3 linked regions of the Callithrix jacchus genome follow. The protein of the gene in region 1 purifies or fractionates together with the protein of each later gene. This does not show direct contact. Links are inferred from orthologs where the notes say so. Each region holds a gene or a part of one and is shown in the gene's direction. Other genes may lie near its edges.

Region 1 (4,264 bases):
AGTTCTTATAGTGTTGATTTATTCTTTCCTGATTATAGGGCAGCAAGTTAAAATTTCTGGCAAAGAATTCTCATTTTATATAGCTCAGCAGATCCCCAGTGGGTTAGCTAAAAGAAAAGGCGTATCTTGCCTGGTGGTTTCTCCATAGGACAGGACAGCATGTCTCAGAACTCAGGAAGAGATGGGATGCCGTGGGTTGCTAAGGCATGAGCTGCAGTGGCTTGCTGATCAGCACATTCTCTCTCACCTCCACGGTGGTTCTCTTGCTTGTCTGCAGTGAGTTCATGATTTGAATGCCCATTTGCAGAAAAAAATATATGAGTTTCAAATTCTCTTCCCCATCATCATTTTTTCTTTTCTTCATTGTGAGTCATCTTTCATTAAACAAAACAAAGACGTTACTGTTAATTATACATCTTTCCAAACAGTGCAAAAATTCTTGTGTGTGTGTGGTGGGGGTTGGTGGTTTTGATGGGAATAGTAATTTATAATGGGGGTGTTTTAAATTGTCCATCATGAACATACTGAGAGACACTGAAAAGCTTAAGAGTCTCTACTAAGATAGCAAAAATTGTTTCTGCCTTTTTTTCGTATTTCATAAAGCTCTCACTTTCTGCCCTAACACATTGTTGTAAACATAATTCCATTCAACTATTTTATTGTTCTCTTTATATACCTTATTAAAACTGCAGCTTTATTCAGCTAAAATTGCAAATAATACATGAAGTACCATAATATTGACTGTTTGTAGGCAGAGTATGTGAGCAAACTGGAAAGCTGCCATCCTGTTCCTGGCACTATAAAGATTAATGTGAAGCATGCATGGGTGTCATCAGAACCAGCAGTCAGCCTTGCCAGGGGTTTGGCACACAAGGTTCTAAGGTAATCCCGGAGGTGGAGTTCCATGGATAAGTTAGTGCAGGCTGGTGGGTTGGCAAACCTCCTGCAGAGGGGAACCCCAGCTGATGGGAACCAGGGGCCATCCCCAAAGGGCTTTTTTGACAGTGAGGCCCACTCACAGTCAGATAGGAAGTGGGAAAGGTATGGGCTGGGTGCTGGGGTATTTTAATACAAGAGATAAACTGAGAAAGCCCTTGGAAGACTCAGTTTGTGCCCCAACCATGGATGACTTGTAGAGACTCTGAAAAAGGGAAGTGTGTGTTTGTGTGGTGTGTGTACACAAGGTCACCATCCTTATCTTTCTTGGTTCCAGAAAGTTAAAATCACATGATAGCTTCTTTTGGTGGTATAAGACCAGGTCTTTGCAGTTTCAGGCAGGTGTTTGTGGCAACTGTGACTTAGCAATTGTGTGAATGAGAAAAAAATTTGTGGCCAAATTGATTGTCTGCAACAAATGGAAATTCTATGGTGGTGCTTTGTGGGTGGTTTGTAGGCAGAGAGTACTTGGTTCCCTTTTGATGTCTCACTATTTTTTTTCTTCTTCTACAGTTTTTTTGAAGAAACAGGATGCTGATCTAGACGTGGAAAAAGTAAGTTGGCAAGTTTTGCACTGAGAGCATGTGCCTTGTGAATTGGAAAGGGCTTCCTGTTGGAACCCAGGATGAAGTCCACTTTCAGTGTGGGATTATAATTCTGAGTCCATAGATTTCTGAGAGAGAGGTTGAATTGGAGATGGAACTGGTATGTGAAATAGAAAGAAAATCTTATCTTCCTTAGCGGACCCACTATTTTCTGCCTTCCCTTAGTTGTAACACTCAATTCTGGTAATTTATGGGAACATATGTTTTGACTATAAGTTATGGCTCCCACCACAGAAATAGAATGGAACAGCTGTCCCATGGCTGAGGAGCCTTCGTGCTGGGGGGGAATGGGGAGCACCTGTCCTCAGGCTGGTCAAGGAGGTCATCTTCAGTCCATTCATCGTTGTTTTTCCTCTACTCTCAGATGGCTGCTGCTCACCTCTGCCTGAGTGGTATCTTTGATTGCAGCCACTGTGTAGCAGGTCATTCCTTCATTAACTTAACATTTTTTGGTTCCCACTGGGTGTTAGACATCATGCTGGACTCTGTTGAGACAAAAGTGAATGTGACTAACTAGTACTCAGGTAATTGTGGTACAACCTGAGAGAGCTGTGCAGAAGGGGCTTTGAAGCTCTGACTGAGGGCTGAGCTATCCAGAAAAACTGAGATGGAGGGGGTGTGAGAAGGAGCTGTGAATGCATTCTTTCTCTGAATGTTTGCTAAGCCTTCTCTGCCTGTACTTCTATCTCCCAGGCACCTTGAGTTCCCCAGTGAAAGGCTGAACCTTGCAGCTCTCGCTAGCCACCCAGGCTTCCTTTTCAGCCCCCACTACTCTGCCCAACCACATTGCCTTGGGTGTAACTTTTCAGCTGTTCTGAGTTATGTTCCTCAATTCCCTGGCCACTTTGGGGCTGCCCCTTCATCATCTCAGAATGACTTGGGGTTATTTCTCCTCTTGATTTGAGTGCAAAAGAGGCTTTTCTTCCTAAACTAGAGCCATTCTGAAAGCAGCCAGTTTGTCTGTAAGTTAGGGAAGTGTACTACCTGAAACATTGTTCTGGAACAATGGTGAGTAACTCCTGACCTTTGACCCCATGCAGGCACCTAGCTTCTGCAGGACAGCCTGTGATCTGCTAGTCATGGGCTTTTCAGCTCATAGAAACCAGGGGGACTTGGGGAAATTAAGCAGCTCTAGTTAGGACTAGGCAGAAGGAGCCTTTTTAGAATCCACATGCACTCAGATTTTGACTGTGGAAGCCAGGGATTGGCAAACGCTGCCCCCATGGGAGGTCAGTACACAGTGACCCTTCTGGACTAGGCCAGGTCCACAGCAGGCAAGAGCCTGTGGGTGCCAGGAGCCCCCTCAGGGCAGTGTTGTTCAGGGGAGCCCAAAGAAATGCCTGGGGGTTGCCCCAGACTGCAGGACGTGCCCTGCTCTGTCTAACTCAGGCAGTGAATCCTGCAACCACAGGATGGGGGAGTCCATTCATTTGGATTCCCTGTCCTGGCCCCATGCCAGGCAAACAGCAGGGCTCAGTTAGTGGAGTGTGGGGGCACTGAATGGAATAGTGTTAAAGTTTGCTTCACTTCTGCTGTTAAATTGCTTTTCGACCTTAGACAAATCATTTCTCCTCTCCAAGTCTCATTTATCTTATCAGTAAAGCAGTCCCTTCCCCAGGACCAAGTAAATTTACTCATTTTTAAATTTAAAAACACAAACCAAATATGTTTTTTTGTTTGTTTTCTGACTTGGGTCTTGAATTAAAATGGAAAAAAGAGCTGTTGGCCACCACTCTAAAGAATGCTAGATAAGGCCAGTTATGGATTGGGACTGAGGGAGCAATGAGTGTCTACAAAAGAGTGAACATGGGTGACTGACCCCATCGTGCAGGTGTCTGTAAGTGCTCAGGGAACCCAAAGTAAGAAGCTACACAGGAGTAGAAATGCCGCTTGGACGGAATGAGTCTAAAGGGGTCCGCCTGCACACTCTTCTCAGTCAAGTGGTTACTGACCTGAGAAACAGTCATTGCCTTAGAGGAGTTTGCTGTTTTAACAGTTCTTTTCTAGAAGTTCCACTTTCAGAACCTTTTCCTGTTGCTGGTAGAACACTGTTGAACATGGATACATCAGCTTATCTTTTTGTCTGTGTTTACCTATCCAGAAGAATCTAATATAGGATGTACATCCATTGTATAAGTAAATGATACCTGTTGGCTAACCCCGGTGGAGAAAAATTACCAAAGTCACAGCGTTTGTTCTTCAAATGGATTTTTAAGTTTCCCCTTTTAGTTGAATATTTTTGTAGAGACAGAACCCTATGTGGAAAATCAGCTTTATTTGGACATGTTAAAGCTCAAAGACAAGTTAGTCTTCATTCTGTATTAATTAGTATCCATGGTTTATTGAACTTCTGCTATGGAGAGTGCTTTATATCATCTCTGTTACACTTCACCATGACAGCAGTCCTGTGAGGGAGCCATGAGTGGCTCGAGGTACTGTAGTGATAGTAAGTATTCTACTCAGATCTGTCTGGGCCAGAGCTTTTCCCTTCCCATACCCCACCTTACACTTTGGAATGTATATAATGTTTGAAACAATATATTTGTGTCCCTTATGTTTTAAAGTTTTGTAAATTCTAAGAAAGCAGTGTTTGTTACTTTTTTGAGAGGTCTTCCTTGACACTTCCCTACAGACCCAGTCTGGAATGGGGTTCCCCTATTGCCAGGGATGCTTCAAAGCTGTCATTGTGGTTGAGTCGTTATCTATGCAATGACTTAATAGCA
Region 2 (3,983 bases), on another chromosome or scaffold:
AGGAGAGCCAGAGAATGGAAATGGAACAAAACAGATACTTGAAATTATCTTGTTGAGTGACTGAAGGAAAGAGCCACAGGGGGAACCTAGGAAGAAAGCAGGGCTGGGGGCTCATCTACACTGGAATCGGGGAGTCTTGGGTGGGGGTCAGATGAATTGTGTCCCTTCTATCATGTGACTCATGAGATCTAGTTCTGCCCCAGCTCTGCCATTGCTGTGTGCGCTTGGAAAGCTTATTTTGCTCCTCTGGGACTCAGTGTCCCCTTCTATAAAATGGGGTAAATAATCCTCTCCTTGCACCCAAGGGGCTTTGAGATTCAAAAAGGAATATGTCTGTCAATATCCGGATATATCCAATCTGTGCTGGGTGACCTTGACCAAATCACATTCTCTCTCTGTGCCAATTCACCCCTGGGCCTTGGTTTTTCCTTCTGAAAAATGACTGATCAGCTTGGAGGATCTTTCCATCTCTTCCATGCCACCTCTTCTCAGCAGTGCTCTCTGATTCTCTCAGGCCTCCATTAGGAGTCCCTCTAAATGCACTCTCAGCTTTCTGTCTGCCCACCGGGTACCTGCTTGCCCACTGAATGTCTCACTCACTAGCCTGGGTGCTTGAGGTCAGGACCATGTCTTACTACTGTGTCCTGGCACTCAGTACAGTATTGGAAGGTAATAAGTGCTCAGTATGCTTGCTCAATGAATGAATGTTGACTGAATCAACCACAGAGATGATCAGAATCTCCTTTATAGATGGGGAAACCGAGGCACTGAGAAATGACTCTCCCCTGGGTGTCATGAAAAGGGGAGGCCACCACCCAAGATGGGCATTGGGCAAGTGGGGCCCAGGCCACTCTTTGATAAAAGTGACTCAGCTACTGGTGGCTGGCGTGGGCTGTGGAATTTCTAAGCATCCCCTCACATCCTGAGAGAACGGGCGACGAGAGGGAGGCAAGCAGAGGGAAAAGAAGAAAAACAAGAAACTTGGGGGAAAAGAAAGAGAGGGGAAAAAAACTGAAATTGAAAACAGACGCACGCGTTCACCCTCCCTGCCCCACTGCCCCCCTTCTCCCCAGCTGGGCCAATCAGAAGCCACCCTGCAGCCTTTCCCCCAAAGTGGCGAGGGGGAGGGGGCGGGCGGGAAAGCCCACGGTGGTGTGAGTTTCTGGGGCTGCCAGCAACCAGCAGTGACCGCCCGCCCTATCTGGGACCCAGGATCGCTCTGTGAGCAACTTGGAGCCAGAGAGGAGATCAACGAGGAGGAGGAGAGAGCCAGCCCCTCAGCCCAGCTGCCCAGCAGCAGCCTGTGCCCGCCCTGCCCAACACAGACAGCCAGACTCAGGGCGGCCCCTCTGGCAGCTCTGCTCCTCCTGGAGGATGCTTGGGGAGTGAGGCGAAGCTGGGCTGCTCCTCACCCCTGCAGCAGCCCTCTCCCTCCGTCCCTTCCTTCTCCTGAGCCTTCAGGAGCCTGCAACGGTCCTGCCTGTCCTTCTACCCAGCTATTACACACTCTGGAACCAGCAGTCTTTCTGATAACGGGGAGACAGCAGTAAGGAGGACTTCCTGGAGGGGGTGACTGTCCAGAGCCTGGAACTGTGCCCACACCAGAAGCCATCGGCAGCAAGGTAAGTGCTGGGAGGGGTGGGAACCCTAGCCCCATGCCCTGTCCCTTTGCCCTAGCCTGTGTCTCTTTGAGTAGGTAAAACAAATGGAATATATTTTGAAGAAAACCGGATGAGAGGAGACTGGGAGACTGTGGGTGATGTCAGGGCTGGAGGAGCCAGTTCTCTCCTTTCCCCTGCTCTGGGGTGAGGGGCCTCCACCTCATCATCCCTGCTGCTCCTGCCTTCATAAAACAATCCCCAGGGGTTTCTGAGTGCTGAGTGGGGGCCTCCAAATCACAGCACAGTCAATGGGGGGGTTGGCAGGAGAGGGGAATTGGGAGAAGATAGGCAGGTACACCGAAAGCAGGGGACGAGGACCGCAGGACCCACTCCGCAGTTCCAGTTCTCCAGTTCGTGGCCCAAGCTGTGTTTCTAAGAGTCAGTCTGGCTTTAGGCCAGTCAGCCGCCAGGCAACCTTTGGAGATTTAAATGGATTTGCAAATTTTCTAGATTCCTAAGATATCCTTCTAAACCCCCAGCAGCTAGAAAAGTTTGAGGGCTAGGAAAGTTTGAGGGCGATGGGGGGCCATGGCAACCCCCTAGTGGTCATGCTGCTGGGGCTGGGGTCTGGGGTCTGGGACCTGGCCATCAGATCTGGGGACTCCTCTGTGAAGTAGGGGTCAGCCACTGGCCATTTCCTTTGGCCCCAGGCAGCTGCTCAGACCTCCTCTTTGTCTCCCTCCTTCTGGACTCTACCCCTTCTCCATGCCATTCTAAAGCATAAATCTGATCACACCACCTCCTGCCCAGGATCCGCCTGTGGCTCCCCAGTGCCTGGAGAAAATCCCAGCTCCAAACAGAGGCTGCCACTGATTGATACTTACTGCACGCCGCGACTGCGCTGAGTGCTTTATGAGGCTGATATCATGTCATGCTCACCAGCAACCCCAGAGGCAGCGACTGTTTTTACCTCCACTTTATACATGAGGAAACTGAGGCTCACGCGGCACATAACTAGCCACACATCTAGAAAGTGGTACAGCCTGGAGAGGTTGGAAACTGCTTGTGCCCCATTACTCCAAACTTGGGCCTTTTGTTCCCTCCAGTCAGATCCCAGCATTCCCAGAAGGAATGTGTACTATCCTGCTTGTGGGCATTTGCCCCCCTCTTTTCTCCCTTCCTGGAATGCCCTTCCTCAACACTTTTCTTTCAGGGGTATTCTGTACTCCACCTCTTCCAGGCAGCCTTCCCAGGTTCTTCCTATCTTCCAAGTGCTAGCCATGCATTTTGTGCTGAAGCCCTGCCACTTGGCCCTCTCCTGTGAGTGATCTGTTTGTGTTTTGTTTGTTCATCGGAGATTGTTCAGGCCCCAGCAGTCAGACCTGAGGCTGCACTTTCTGCTGGGGAAAGGTTTTACCATCCTGTGCTCTGCCCCCAGTGCCCAGCCCTGGGTAGGCAGTGGGGCTGAGACGTCCTGGTGAAAGGGAAGAGGAGCTCACTGAAGACCTGCTCCCAAGTGTGAGACTAGACCAGCCCCCCAGCCTTCGCTTCAGGTGCCCCTGCAGGACATCGTGTGGCTCCTCCAGGTGGCATTTCTCCATTGCAAGCAGGGAGGAGTATCTCTGCTTCCCTCTGTGACCCCCTGAGAGCACAGAGGCCTCTAGTGACAAGTTCTGAAGTCATGCAGTCCACCACCGAGACTGTATGTTCCTGAATGCTGTGAATTCAGGGTCCAAGCAGGAGACCCTGAATTCACAGCATTCAGGACCATACAGTCACAGTGGTCCCTGTCCCTGAACACCTAGCCCATGCAGGCATAGAGCCTGGCACCTCCCACACCTTGGAATCCTCATGGCAAGTTTTTGAAATCAGTGTTATGATCTCCTTGTAGATGAGGAAGCTGAGGTCTGGAGAGGTCAGGTGACTCTGCCAGGGCCACACAGTGGGTTGAGGTGGTGTTTAGGCTGAAGTCATTCTGGCCCTAAAGGGGCCTTGTGCTCCCTGGGAAGCTCCCAGTCAGAGGGAAGAATCTCCATCCTCCTGCAGAGCCTGCTCCTGGCTTCAGCACCTTCCCCAGCAAAAGTGCAGCCTCAGGTCTGACTGATCCAAGGTCCGCCCAGGCCCTGGCTTGGTCCTGAGAGAGGAAGGAAACCATCTGGTTAGCACCCTTCTCCCAGACAGCAGTTATCAGCAGCCCCCCTCCTCTGTGGGAAGAAGAGCTGGGACTTGTAGTTGCCCACAGATGTGGGGCGGGCAGCAGAAAGCACCGTGGACCAAGAGTCAGGAGACCCAGTGCTTGCCCTGGCTCGACTCAAATCCACAGTGTGACCGACCTCACACCCCTTACATCCCATCTCTGAGCTGCTTCCACAGCTGGGAGGC
Region 3 (3,992 bases), on another chromosome or scaffold:
CATCTATGGTTTTGCTTGCATTGAGAGTTTTCCAAGTAACTCCCAAGTAAAGAATAATATAAGTTAACTGCACCTGTTCAGACACATGCCCTGGGGGAGTCACACACAAACACACACATATACGCAGTCATTCACTCAGGCTGCCAGGTCGAAAGCTTGCTTGACTTGGCTATTCAATTCAACAAGCAATGGCAGCTATTGACCTCATATTACATATTGCATTATCCTGTTCTTGCATAACTTCTAGTCTCTATTCAGGTCACTGTCCCAAAGCTTCTTGCAGGGTTGACTGAGGACTTAGAATTCTCTGTAAGTATGCTGTTGTGACACTATTAGGAAATTCTAATACCACACTCCCTCTCTAGTCATACCAAGCATCTTCGCCTCACAGACAGACATTTTACTCTGCACTCTAGGATACTGCAAAAACTGTTCCTATGCCTTGTACTTCCTTGCTGCCTTAAATTCCTCCAATTTGGACAGCTCTTTCTAATCTTTCAAGTGGCAACTTTGACTTCTTATTCTCTTAAAATAAAAATTTAAAACACTCTCTACTACCCTAGACTATTTCACATATTCTCTTAGGTTTTCCCCTAAAACTCTTGGCTTACCTTGCTAATAACATTCATTAATACATAAAACTGAGTAATTTAATTTTCAACTCTTCAAACTTAGGCTCCAAAAGGACTAGAATGTTAATTATTATTCACCATTGTAGTGGTAAGTCTTGACATAATCCCTGACATATCAGAGGAGATTCAAAATTTGTTAATGAATGAGTGTTTTCTGTGTTGGAATGAGTATTCTTTTTATTCTCTTGAAAAAATAAAATTGTTGCTTTGAATGTGGTTAAACATAGTTCTAAGATATGAACATTATGTTTTTGGAATGTTTTTCTCTTGAAATTATGGATTTAATAGAATCATATGGCTCTGCATCTGTCAAACTAAAACAAGTTGTACTTGTATTAACAAACAATGCCAAAACTCAGTGACTTGAAATAATGATTTAGTTCTTGCTCACTGGTATAGTCTAAATATTTATTTACCCCAAAATTTATATGTTGAAACCTAATCCCCAAAGCCAAGAGTATTTGGAGTTGGAAACTTGGGAGGTATTTAGATCATGAGGGTGGAGTGTTCATGAATGGCCTTAGTGCCCTTACAAAAGAGGCTCCGGAGTGATTCTTTGCCTCTATTACGAGGTGAAGACACAGCAAGAAGGGATCTTTTAAGAGGAATTGGCCTTACCAGACACCAAATCCACCAGTTCCTCGATCTTGAGGTCCCCAGCTTTCAGAACTGTGAGGATTAAATGTTTGTTATTTATGAATCTACCAGTTTTTGGTATTTGTTATAGCAACTAGAATGGATTAAGACACATTATACGTGAATCCAATTACATGGAGAGTATTCATAGAATGAGGAGCACAGAATGCTGATGATAGAGTTTTGGGGAATATTTAAAAAGCAAATTAATTATCTGTATTTAATGTAATTACATGATAATAATCATTTATGTCAGTTTCTGCTGCACAGGAATGCATTTATATACAGTTATGTGAACAAAAGTAAATAATTGGGTGTTTCAGAATATTTAGATTTCCAAGCTATTACCATTAATGCAATTTTTCTACAAAACTAAGTAATTTCTATTTTGCATTAGTTAACTCTTTTCTCAAAAGAAGTGATTATTTAAATTTTCAGTGATCATCTAGAATAAACTCATATGAAAGGATATTGTCTTTTAATGCGTATGCATTAGTGAAAATGGAAGTCTTTCTCACAGCAGACTTTGATGACAGTTTGTAAATTGTTTGCAAGTTACTATATTTCTGTCAGGTTTTATTTTTTTAGATTAATCCCAGTCAAATTCTACGACCTCATTTTTTTGAAACGTTTTGTTATACCAGTTATTCCAGATATTTGTGGAATTGTTGTCTTCCTAACTGATATGCTAGTATTCTCTAGACTATTTTTCACAAGTACAGAGAAAGTCTTACTTTCAATATTTTATTGTTAATGCTTTTTACTACTGAGAATGCAGTTTATGTCATGGTGTTAAATGACAATATAAATCACCTCCTACTATTGCTCAATTTTTTTTTAGTTTAGTCATTGACTTTCTTCTTCTGTAGGTGATATTCCCAAATCAGGACCGATTCTGCTAATGAGCAGAATAGGCAGATTGACACATGTCTGATAGAATTTAAGTGATTTCAGATTTCTCCACACATTCATCCCCGTGTCTCACATTCCTTTTTAAAAATTAGCTATTTTGGCATTTTTATAAAGTTAACTCATTAAATAAATTTGTTTATTTGGTTTCTCTATGTTGTTGGTTTGTCTATGTTGTTTCCCCGTTTGTTTGTGTATGTTTGTCTATGTTGTTCCCCGTTTTCACTTTTCATTTCTCAGAATTTTAAAGAACAGTGTCAAATTGTTGAGCAATTTTAAAACTGTAAATAGAACGAAAAGGAAGAGAGAGGCTTCAGTCACAGGCCAAAAACTTAGCACAGCTGAATTCAATCACTGTCTTACTTGTTTCATAGGAATTACTACTCAAGGGACAATCAGAAAGGGTCAAGGAAAGCTATTTTTTCTTCCCACGATTTGAAAATACATCTTCTTTCGTATGAAGAAAAGGATGTGGTGTGTGTGTGTGTGTGTGTGTGTGTGTGTGTGTGTGTGTTTATACACACATATATGTATAAGATAAAAGGTAAATGGTGGTAAAGTCACTCTATTCCATTAAAATTATTGCCACACTGCTTGGGCAAGATTGTATGTCTCCTGAATTGACCTGAGGAGTGTCTTCCCAAGTAGAGTGATTCTATTTTTTAAAACCTGGCACACCACGGCCTTCAATAAGTCTTATTAGAGTAATGGATGGATATATGAATTGATGAGAATACTTGAAACATTATATGATTGTTAAAGAGATTTCTAAAAGCAAATCACAGAAAATCTGTTTCCTTGAGTGGTTTTAAAGATTTAAAATTGATTTCCCAATAAATGGGTGGTTCAAAATATTCAGATAAATTCACAAGATTGTTGTGAGTAATCAAGAAGGTAATAATTAATAAAATTAAACAATAAGCAACAAAAATAAATATTTTTAAAGTAATAAATGTTTTAATATAGGTTAACAAAGTATTTCTCTGGGAAAGAAACAAGGTGCTCAATGAATGAACTACCCTTAAAAAAGGTGTTTTCCAAGAGCCTCTCTACAAATAAGCCATGATATACCAATTATAAAGGACAGATAATCTGCTGACCAATTACATCAAGTGAATCACATCCACATCAATCCAAGCAGGTCATGATGGTGCCACCAAAAATCTTATATGGGGAAATTAATCACACTTTATGGAAGGTGTTTTTGTATAAAGATTAATATTAGGTTTTCTGTTTTTGAAGGGACATCATAGTAGCTTGAACATTATATGATTAATGAGTTTCCCACTGAATCCACATTGGATCTGCCAGATTATTTAATTTGTTTTTATTCCTCTGTTCAACTACTTCATTAACATGACTGTATCTAGTCTTAACTGTCCTCAATTCATCAACTCTGGATCCCTTAAACATGGTTGAAATTATCTTTGTAAACAAATGCAAAAAATATTTATGAACATGCTCTTTAGCTTTTCGTCAAAAACATAAAAAACCCTTACCCTCCAGACTAGTATTAGATCTCTAAGAGAAAAATGCAAAGGAATCACATGAAAGATAATATTTAATTAAAATTTCAAAGTTTTGTTTAGGAAACCAAAGTATACAAAAACAAGCTAATTCACTCTCAATCAGTGATTTAGTCATTCTTATATAAATAGTTGTAGACAGATAAGAATAAAAATGATTATATTTTTGTTAACATTTGCTTGAAGTTTTTACAGAGAAATCCCAAGTTGTTCATTATATACTTTTGAATACTCCTTACAGTAAATTTTCTTGCATGTTATTCTCTTATTAGGCAATGGACATGCAGAG

What was found. The genes of interacting proteins can lie anywhere in the genome.
Region 2: the proteins of FYN (region 1) and PDGFRB purify together in Homo sapiens (pull-down; 3 studies listed by IntAct, with this or other methods). This does not show direct contact. The link is inferred for Callithrix jacchus from reciprocal best matches to the Homo sapiens genes FYN and PDGFRB.
Region 3: the proteins of FYN (region 1) and CD36 purify together in Homo sapiens (affinity purification with western blotting; 3 studies listed by BioGRID). This does not show direct contact. The link is inferred for Callithrix jacchus from reciprocal best matches to the Homo sapiens genes FYN and CD36.

The regions. Positions count from the first base shown.
Region 1 is NC_133505.1:118,102,670-118,106,933, reverse strand, and holds the start of FYN (tyrosine-protein kinase Fyn), read left to right. Parts: upstream 1-1,464; 5' UTR 1,465-1,490; intron 1,491-4,264. UniProt on the Homo sapiens protein: Non-receptor tyrosine-protein kinase that plays a role in many biological processes including regulation of cell growth and survival, cell adhesion, integrin-mediated signaling, cytoskeletal remodeling, cell motility, immune response and axon guidance.
Region 2 is NC_133503.1:48,866,781-48,870,763, reverse strand, and holds the start of PDGFRB (platelet-derived growth factor receptor beta), read left to right. Parts: upstream 1-1,183; 5' UTR 1,184-1,622; intron 1,623-3,983. UniProt on the Homo sapiens protein: Tyrosine-protein kinase that acts as a cell-surface receptor for homodimeric PDGFB and PDGFD and for heterodimers formed by PDGFA and PDGFB, and plays an essential role in the regulation of embryonic development, cell proliferation, survival, differentiation, chemotaxis and migration.
Region 3 is NC_133512.1:69,397,402-69,401,393, reverse strand, and holds the start of CD36 (platelet glycoprotein 4), read left to right. Parts: upstream 1-1,192; 5' UTR 1,193-1,303; intron 1,304-3,992.